Linked DNA regions of Oryzias latipes. The main gene of each other region encodes a partner of the protein of the gene in region 2 in a complex. Links are inferred from orthologs where the notes say so. Each region holds a gene or a part of one and is shown on either strand. Other genes may lie near its edges.

Region 1 (3,984 bases), on a different chromosome or scaffold from region 2:
AACAGCAGGAGATCTGAACCTTTTTCTGCAAACAGGTGTTAGCATGACGCAGCAGGAAGTGACGTGTCTGTAGTCCATCCTCCTTCATTTGTAGTTCAACAGAATGATGTCATCTCTGCAGAAAAGGCGGAGCCTCTTTCCTCCTCTGCTTTGACCTGTGGCGTCAGCCTACAGGTCCAGGAGAACCGGGTTCTCAACCAGACCCCCCCTCATCACTTCAGGAGGGTCTGTCCATGTGAGGGAGGAGAACAGACTCACCTCCATCCTCATCTTCATCCTCTTCGTCCTCTTCCTCCTCAACATAATCTCCATCATCGTCTTCGTCCTTCAACAGAAACAGGAAGCTGCTGACTGCGCTCAGTCACAAGGAGCCCCCCCCCTCCCCCTCCCCATCTGGATCAGTGGCACACCTGGATGCCGTCCTTCATCAGGTAGGAAAGCCCCACTTCCTCTTCTTCAGAGCCGTGCTCTTCATCATCTTCGTCCTCCTCATCATCATCTCCGGGAGGACCTGCCTCCTCCTCCTCATCTAGAAAAGAACCAGTGTGTTGACAGGAAACGGATCAGGTGAGTTCAGACGGAACCAAACAAGAACTTTAGGTTTGTCTTAGACCTTCATGATTATTCTGAAGAACCAGCAGAGCGGGTTCCTCGACCTTCAGACTGTGACGGATGGCGCCTCACCGTTGTCGGACGCCTCGTTGTCCTCCTGGTCGAACCCGTCCAGGTAGGTGAGCTGTGGCAGCAGCTGGAAGACGCGCTCCCTGTAGTCGTCCAGAGAGGACACGTCGCAGCCGTACAGGTCCAGACTCTTCAGGGCCTTCAGGCTCTGCTGCAGGTCACATGACATCGCCGTGAGCAGCGGACCTCCTGGGAGGACCAGAGGAAGGCGCCACTTACCAGCGGCTCCAGGCTGCTCAGCTCCTTCAGCTTGTTGCTGCTGAGGTTGAGGTGGGTCAGGCCAGGACACTTCTCCACCAGCGTGTTCAGCCCCCCACCGATGGAGTTCTCACTGACCTCCAGCTGAAACACAGCAGTCGGGTCTCAGTTCTGCTGTAAAAGGCGGGAAGGCTGAGCGGTTCAGACCAACCTGAACCTGGAACCATTTGGTTTGCATCATTCTGAGGTCAACGTCCTTCATTCAGTTTAGACGTTTGGGAGGAAGGTCAGACCTCCTGAGGCTGCGGTCATGACCACGTCTCCTCACCTTCTGCAGTTTGGGCAGCAGGGGCATCTTGGACAGCGAGCTGAGGCCCACGTTCACCATGCTGAGGACCTCCAGCTCCGTGAACTCCTCTGACAGACCTTCCACCTCGCCGTCGCTGGAGCGGCAGTTGTCCACCACCAGCTCCCCCACCTGGAAGCAGACGGCAGCTGAGCAGACCTGCAGCCAACACCCCACCTTCGGCGCCGCAGAGCGGCCGCTTCACTCTGAGGACAGGAGGCCTCGTCTACCAGCCGGGCTCTGGTCCAGAACCGGTCCTGGTGGATTTCACAATCCCCTTAGTGTCTGCTCCAGAGAGCTTCAGAGCCTAGACGTATGTGGAAACGCTCCACCAGGCGTGTTTGGAGTTTTAACGCCATGCCATCATGGTAGCCAATCAGATGTGCAGCACTTCCCCAGAGCTCCATCCACAGCGCCACAGCTGATTGGATGAATATTTATTCTTCCTTTTCATCCGCCCGCCGTCCGCAGTCACGTGACACCAGCAGTTTTACCACCATGACGCTTTCATACGTCACCATGATGGAAACCAGACGGCCTCGGCGTTCCCGCGCCCCCTGCAGGCCGTTAGCGAAACTGCAGACGTTTGATGACAGGCAACAGGTCTGGACCAGAACCGAGCTCTGGACCTTTGGAACAACTGCAGTGTTTAGGTCCATAGAGCCCAGATGTTTGTAGGGTTCTGTATGTGAACTCATGTTTACCACAATATAGAATATGTATAGTAAAGTAAGTCCCATAAATGAGTGGTACCTATAGAAGCTAATCTGTGTTGGTGCTCCCCATTCCGAACCTGACCTCCCATTTCGAACCTGACCTCTGCACGGCTTAAGAATGAAGGCAGACGGACCGAGGACCACCGGTACCGTCCATTCCCCGCGTCCTGGTCTCGGACCGTGGCTGAGGTTCAGCTCACGTCTGCCCGATATTCCGCCAGAAGGCTGTTTGAAATGGACCGAACCCACCCGGGTCCCCAACAGCCAGCCGTGCATCGAAAAAATCCAGCTCCGAGACTGGACTGCGCATGCGCATTGAAAGTGGTCCGAACAGACTCACCGAGCTGGAGCTTCAAGCTAAAACGGCGCCGAAGCATTTCAGCAGAACTGCGGTTCGTCAGGATCACCACTGTCATCGGAACCGCGATCATCCTACGGCGGGAAGTCGCCCCGCTGCACACAGTCAACGGAACCCGACCGAAACAGACCCAAACCGGCTCGCGGCTCTTTCTCCACATTAGCTAGCTAGCTGGAGCTGCCTCGAGGCTTCTCCACGGAACACAGGAAACCCGCACGTGGAGCGGGCGGGAAACAGAGCTCCGCTACTAGAGCCGCGCGGGTGTAGCTCGCGCTAAGACGACGGAACACGCGCGCGCGTCTTTACCGCTAACGCAGAAAACAGGAGCGGCTGCGGGATTCTCACGCACCTCGGTGGGACTTCGGTTTCGGAGCTCGAGGCTGATCCTCTTCTTCATCTCCATGATGAAGCAGGAGCACAGAAAGTAGCAAAACAAAAGAGATGGCGCGCACGCGCGGCTCAGTCCTCTGTCGCGAACACGCCTCCTCACGCATTTCAAAGGCTCCGGATCCACGTGGGATCTGATTGGTTCGGTCTGAAGCTCCGCCCCCACAGCGTACGACTGAATACTCTTGACCGCGATTGGTCTGAACGTCAGGACTGACCAATGAGAATGCGAAGATAGACCCTTTTTTAAAATGTTTAGGCTCCTCCCCTTTCTGTAGAAACAGGCTGATCTAAGAAACCAGAGGATCCCAAACACGAGATCAATCTGGGATTTCCTATTCTACAGAGCAGAACGTGAACTCATCAGGAGAACATCAATCACCTTTGAGGGGATTGCTGTCTTAAAACATCATGAATCGGACCGCCACCTGCTCCGGTTCTGGTTGGCTGGATAAACAGATCCAGTTCAGTTTCAGAACAGTCGTTTTATTCTGTTTTCTTAAAAAACAAACATGTACACCTGAAATCACAGCCAGAAATAAATAACAGCAAACTCAGGGTTTGGTTCTGGTCGGACCCGGCTGCTCTGAGCGAAGGCCAATCCAACCAGAGCAATGAGGAGAGACAGAAAACTTCAACACCATCAGTGCAGGTCCAACAGAACCGCAAATGCTCAGACCATCCAGAAAGATGTGAGAGGAGGAGTCATGACTCATGGGGAGGAGTCATAACTCATGGGGAGGAGTCACGAATAATGGGGAGGAGTCATGACTCATGGGGAGGAGTCATGACTCATGGGGAGGAGTCACGAATAATGGGGAGGAGTCATGACTCATGGGGAGGAGTCATAACTCATGGGGAGGAGTCACGACTAATGGGGAGGAGTCATGACTCATGGGGAGGAGTCATGACTCATGGGGAGGAGTCATGACTCATGGGGAGGAGTTAGATAAAAGGTGATCATCAAGAGAGCGTTGAGGGAGTTAAAAAGGAACTGAGCATGCTCAGTGGAGATCTTCTGGTTCCGAAATGACATCAATAAATAAACTGTAACAATTTAACAGTAAATTGTTGTAGTTCAACAGGAAGTGATGTCACTACATCATCTTCAGACTTCCTGTCTGGGTGGAGCTTCGGGACTCTTCATGCAGGTTCTGAGGAGGTGAGAAGGACAAACCGGTCTCATATTTACAGAATGGGGGCTCAGTCTGACCGCTCAGTCCACGATGGAGGCTCTGCGTGACCTGCAGGAAGGTCAGGGAGACCAGGAGAACTTCAGGGAGCTGGCAGAGAGCCCC
Region 2 (4,182 bases):
AACAGGGACTAGAGGTCAGACGGGTCCGAGACACCTGCGGTGGGACGGGGGTAACTTACTTTGACTTCCGACCTCTGGAGTCAGAGGTGGTGCTGGGAGTGAGCGTCTGGGTGAGGGTGGAGGCCAGGGCGGAGGAGGAGTAGGAGCCGTCCCGGGACACGGAGAACTCTCGGCCCAGCTGGAAGTCGTTGTTCTTGATGGCCTCGTAGCTGGCTTTGAGGCTGGAGGTCCGGCGGCCTTCCTTCATCTGATGGGACGGAACAGACGGGGGATGGAGCGCCACCAGCGGGGCCGACATGCACGATTTTAGGATGGGGGTCGGGTTCTGACCTGGGCTGTGGCCTGTACGGCCTGCGCCGCCGCCAAGGTGATGGCGCCGGCGCCGGCCCCGGGTCCTGCGGGCAGAGCGCTCAGGTTGTAGGAAGCCAGGGGCTGAGAGGAGTTGAGGCTGTAGGCGCTGTTGGTGGATGCAGACATGCTGTTGGTGCGGCAACCTAGGGGGCAGGAGGGGGGGGGGGCAGTTAGCTGCGTGGAGGCTCCGCCCTCCAGCTGCATGGCTGTTATCTGCAGATGCTACCTGGCGTGTTCTCCTTGGACGGATCCGAGGTGAGTGTAGACAGCAGAGCCTCAGACTTGAACTTCTTCTCAGGAATGTGCTCCACCGTGTGGTGGGCGGGGGCGCTGCACTTCCTCTCTGTGGACAGAGGACACGGTGACACGTGAACCTGCTGCAGAGGTCCTGACATCACGAGGCGGAGCTGAGGGCGTGCAGCAGCTTACTCTCGGCTGTTATGTGCGAGTGCATGTGATGGTTGTTGACCGGCTGGGAGGGACTGTCCATCTCCAGTGACCCTGAGAAGAGCACAAGGTCACCGCTCTGCCTTTCAGCCCCAACGAGTCGCTCTGGAATCGAACTCACGTCTCTCCAGGATCTCTGTGATGCCGGCATTGTCTGCCTCCAGCTCCATTTTGAACTTGGCCAGCTCCTGGTCCAGTTTCCGCAGGTGCCGGTCCACCTGGAGGCAGAGGAGACAACAGGTCACATGAGCTTCTGGACGCGGTGCAGCAGGTAGACCCGGTCCAGCTGCTGCGGGGCGTCTGTTGGTGATGAGGGAGGAAAGCTCCTCCCCAGTGGTGTTAGGGACAGACAAAACTGTCAGGGAACTCCGTCCTGCTACGGTGGAACCTCCAGGCGATCCGGCAAACCCAGCTGGACCGTCACTGTGCAGGAGGTCAGAGACCATCCGGTCAGAGCGGCAGACGGTTCCACTCACCAGATCATAAATCTGATTGGCCAGCTGTACTTTCTCATCTGCGTCCTCCAGGGCCTTGTAATAATCCTGAAACACACCAGAAACAGAATCTAGATCTGACAGGTTCCTTCGGGTTCCTCCAGAACCAGCAGCAGATTCCAGACCTTCTTGATAACCTCCATTTGCTCCTCTCTCCACTCAGGTTTGTTCTTCTTTGCATTGATGAAGAAATCAATGACCCTCTGCTCCAGCTGGTCTGTGGCGTCTGAAACAAAGAGGCGGGAAAGAACTAAAGCACATGACATCAGCTTTCTGGTGCTGGTTCTGGATCAGACAGGAACCTAGAAGAACTCTCTTACTGTCTCCAAAGTTCTTCCACCTGCAACTGCATCAGAGGTCAGATCTGAGACTGGGGGGGGGGGGGTCAGTCCACCTAACTCTGACCCTCCAACAGCTAGGGGTCACAGATGACCCTGGAGGACTTTACAACTGAACTAGGGCTGCACGAGATGAGCAAAACTCGCCATTTCCAACATTACTGATGAATATTGCAATGACCATATAAGTTGTGATGCATATAGCAAACTATCTAAATAGATCATTTCCATTTCACTGCAACAGCTTCAATTAAATTTAAAGTGTACGTTAAATTACACTCCGAATGCCCCCCCCCCCCCCCCTACATCAAAGGGCTCCATCTGGTTGGTCAAATGCATTAATGGATTTATGTGATTCCTTAAATCCTTCAAGCTGCCATAAGATTGTTTGAGCACATTTAAAGTTACATTTATCACAGCTTGATATCAGGATAACGATAAATGAGTGACTGAATGTGCCTCAACTAACAAATACTGATGTGATAAAAGTTTGAACAGCAGCTGCGGTCATGACGTCAACATGAAAGGCGGCGGATAATGAAGGGATGTGCTTTGATCACCATGACCGCCTGACAAAAAGGGGAGGGGCTTCAGAATCTCAGCCACATATGCGTAAAGTGGCGCACGCAGCTCTACAAAACCTCACTTAGTGAATTATTAAACGAGCTGAAAGGTTGATAAGTTCCGTTGACGTGACTGAGGTGTCACCGGGTTCACGGACATGTCAGGTGTGTTAGCTCCGGTAATCTGGCCTTTTTTAACCGCTCGCTGGCGGTTCGAGTCTCCGTGCCGCGGCAGATGTCCCAGCCGAGCCCGGTGGTTGGCGGAAATACGTACTCTGCACCTGCAGGTCCATCTCCCGCATTTCCGTGAACCTATCGCGGAGGTCCATGGGAAGCTGCTCGATCACTGCCGGAAAAGGAAAAACACGTTAGCATCCGCTGCAGCTAGGCTAACGGAAATGCACGCGGCGGCCACACATAGACACACACTGTGCACACATAACGGGCCGAAGTCGGTACCGCCGCGACGCCCCGGTCCGGTACTCACTCTCAAGGTAATCTTCTAGGTACAGCATGGTGGCAAAGTTCGCGCTTTGGCCGTTTTAGGACAGAAACGGCTTCTTCCAATATGGCGCTGCCTCGCTGACAAAAACACTGGAAAAAAAATGAGGTCAGACTGCGCCTGCGTGACGTACGCGGCTTTCGGATTGGTTCAACAATGAGGGCGCGGTTTTTCCTGTTGTTAAAGGAAATGCATCATGGGAATAGTAGTTTAACTTGCATACTTTTGGACTTTGCACCAAATAAAGATGTTTTACTTAAGATTTTCGCTAATATTATAAACAGAAGGTGGGCTTGGCCTGAGATTATTTAGCTGCTGAGACCTTAAGCAACGGGTCTGTTTGTCTGTGATGAAAATATCAGGACAGAAACGCTGCTATAAACCAAAAATCACTTCATAAGGAAATCACCGATCTATGTTTTGCCTATCTGCACCTTTCTTTCCTTCCTTTCTTTTTAAATCTTTTTTTTTTCTTCCTTTTCTTTTAAAGTAAATTTTATGTTGATTATTTCTATGATGTATTGTGATTTTAATGCATTTTTCTGTTTTGTGAAGCACCTTGAATTACTTTGTGTACGAATTGTGCTATACAAATAAACTTGCCTTGCCTTGCCTTGGACATGATCTGCTTCCATGCCCTCACAAAGTTGAGCAAAACATCTGGAGTTCACAGCATTACTTTGAATGAAGTTGATGGTTTTCACAGTGACATCCATCACCTCATGGAACTCTGGAGACATTTTTTTTGCTGCAAGGTTTTCACGGTGGAGAAAACAATGGGTCCATTTAGCTTCTGGCGCAAGATCAAGTATCTGCTTGATGACACCGCGATGCCTGCCAGTCATTGACGCTGCGCCATCACAGCACACTCCAACACCGTTCTGCCAGTCAAGGCCATTCTCAGTGAAGTAGTTATCCATGCAGCGGAAACATTCCTCAGCTGTAGCTCGAGTTGGAAATTCTCCACAAAACAGAATGTCTTCTTGCAAAGAGCTATCCCACCGGTAGCGAACAAAAACCAACAGCAGCGCAGCATTTGTGACGTCAGTCGACTGGTCCAGCTGCAAAGAGAAAAAGGGGCTCTGTCTTATTCTCCCCAGAAGCTGCTGCTCAATGTCTGAGGCCCTGTCAGCAATATGGTGACTCACAATGTCATTCGACAGCGGGATGGTCTTGAGCTTCTTTGCTGCAGCCTCACCAATCATCTCACGGCACATGTCCACAGCGGCAGGCAGAACCAGTTCCTCCGCTATGGTGAACGCTTTCTTACTCTGCGCCACACGTCTGGCTACGAGGTAGCTGGCCTTTAACGCACACTTAGCGTCGCCAGTCAGTGACACGATGGACCCCCTCTGCATCTGAAGCCCATCATCCTTTCTTTTGAAATAATCCACTGGCTTTCCAATGAGCTTCGGATGTTTGGTTTCCAGATGGTGCTTTAATTTTGACGGTTTTAGTGCTTCATTGGATAATGTTAGCCCACACTC

What was found. Proteins that work in one complex are often made in the same cells at the same time.
Region 1: ing3 (region 2) and acidic leucine-rich nuclear phosphoprotein 32 family member E share a complex: the UniProt entries of both Homo sapiens proteins name them as parts of the SWR1-like complex. The link is inferred for Oryzias latipes from reciprocal best matches to the Homo sapiens genes ING3 and ANP32E.

What each region holds. Positions count from the first base shown.
Region 1 is NC_019874.2:32,438,297-32,442,280, reverse strand, and holds the start of acidic leucine-rich nuclear phosphoprotein 32 family member E, read right to left. Parts: upstream 2,801-3,984; 5' UTR 2,703-2,800; coding exon 2,649-2,702; intron 1,358-2,648; coding exon 1,208-1,357; intron 1,024-1,207; coding exon 901-1,023; intron 833-900; coding exon 685-832; intron 530-684; coding exon 411-529; intron 326-410; coding exon 259-325; intron 1-258. UniProt on the Homo sapiens protein: Histone chaperone that specifically mediates the genome-wide removal of histone H2A.Z/H2AZ1 from the nucleosome: removes H2A.Z/H2AZ1 from its normal sites of deposition, especially from enhancer and insulator regions.
Region 2 is NC_019881.2:24,133,035-24,137,216, reverse strand, and holds the start of ing3 (inhibitor of growth protein 3), read right to left. Parts: upstream 2,801-4,182; 5' UTR 2,709-2,800; coding exon 2,681-2,708; exon of another isoform or gene 2,624-2,680; coding exon of another isoform or gene 2,623-2,623; intron 2,540-2,622; coding exon 2,468-2,539; intron 1,519-2,467; coding exon 1,418-1,518; intron 1,341-1,417; coding exon 1,275-1,340; intron 1,017-1,274; coding exon 920-1,016; intron 853-919; coding exon 781-852; intron 695-780; coding exon 578-694; intron 495-577; coding exon 331-494; intron 248-330; coding exon 60-247; intron 1-59. UniProt on the Homo sapiens protein: Component of the NuA4 histone acetyltransferase (HAT) complex which is involved in transcriptional activation of select genes principally by acetylation of nucleosomal histones H4 and H2A.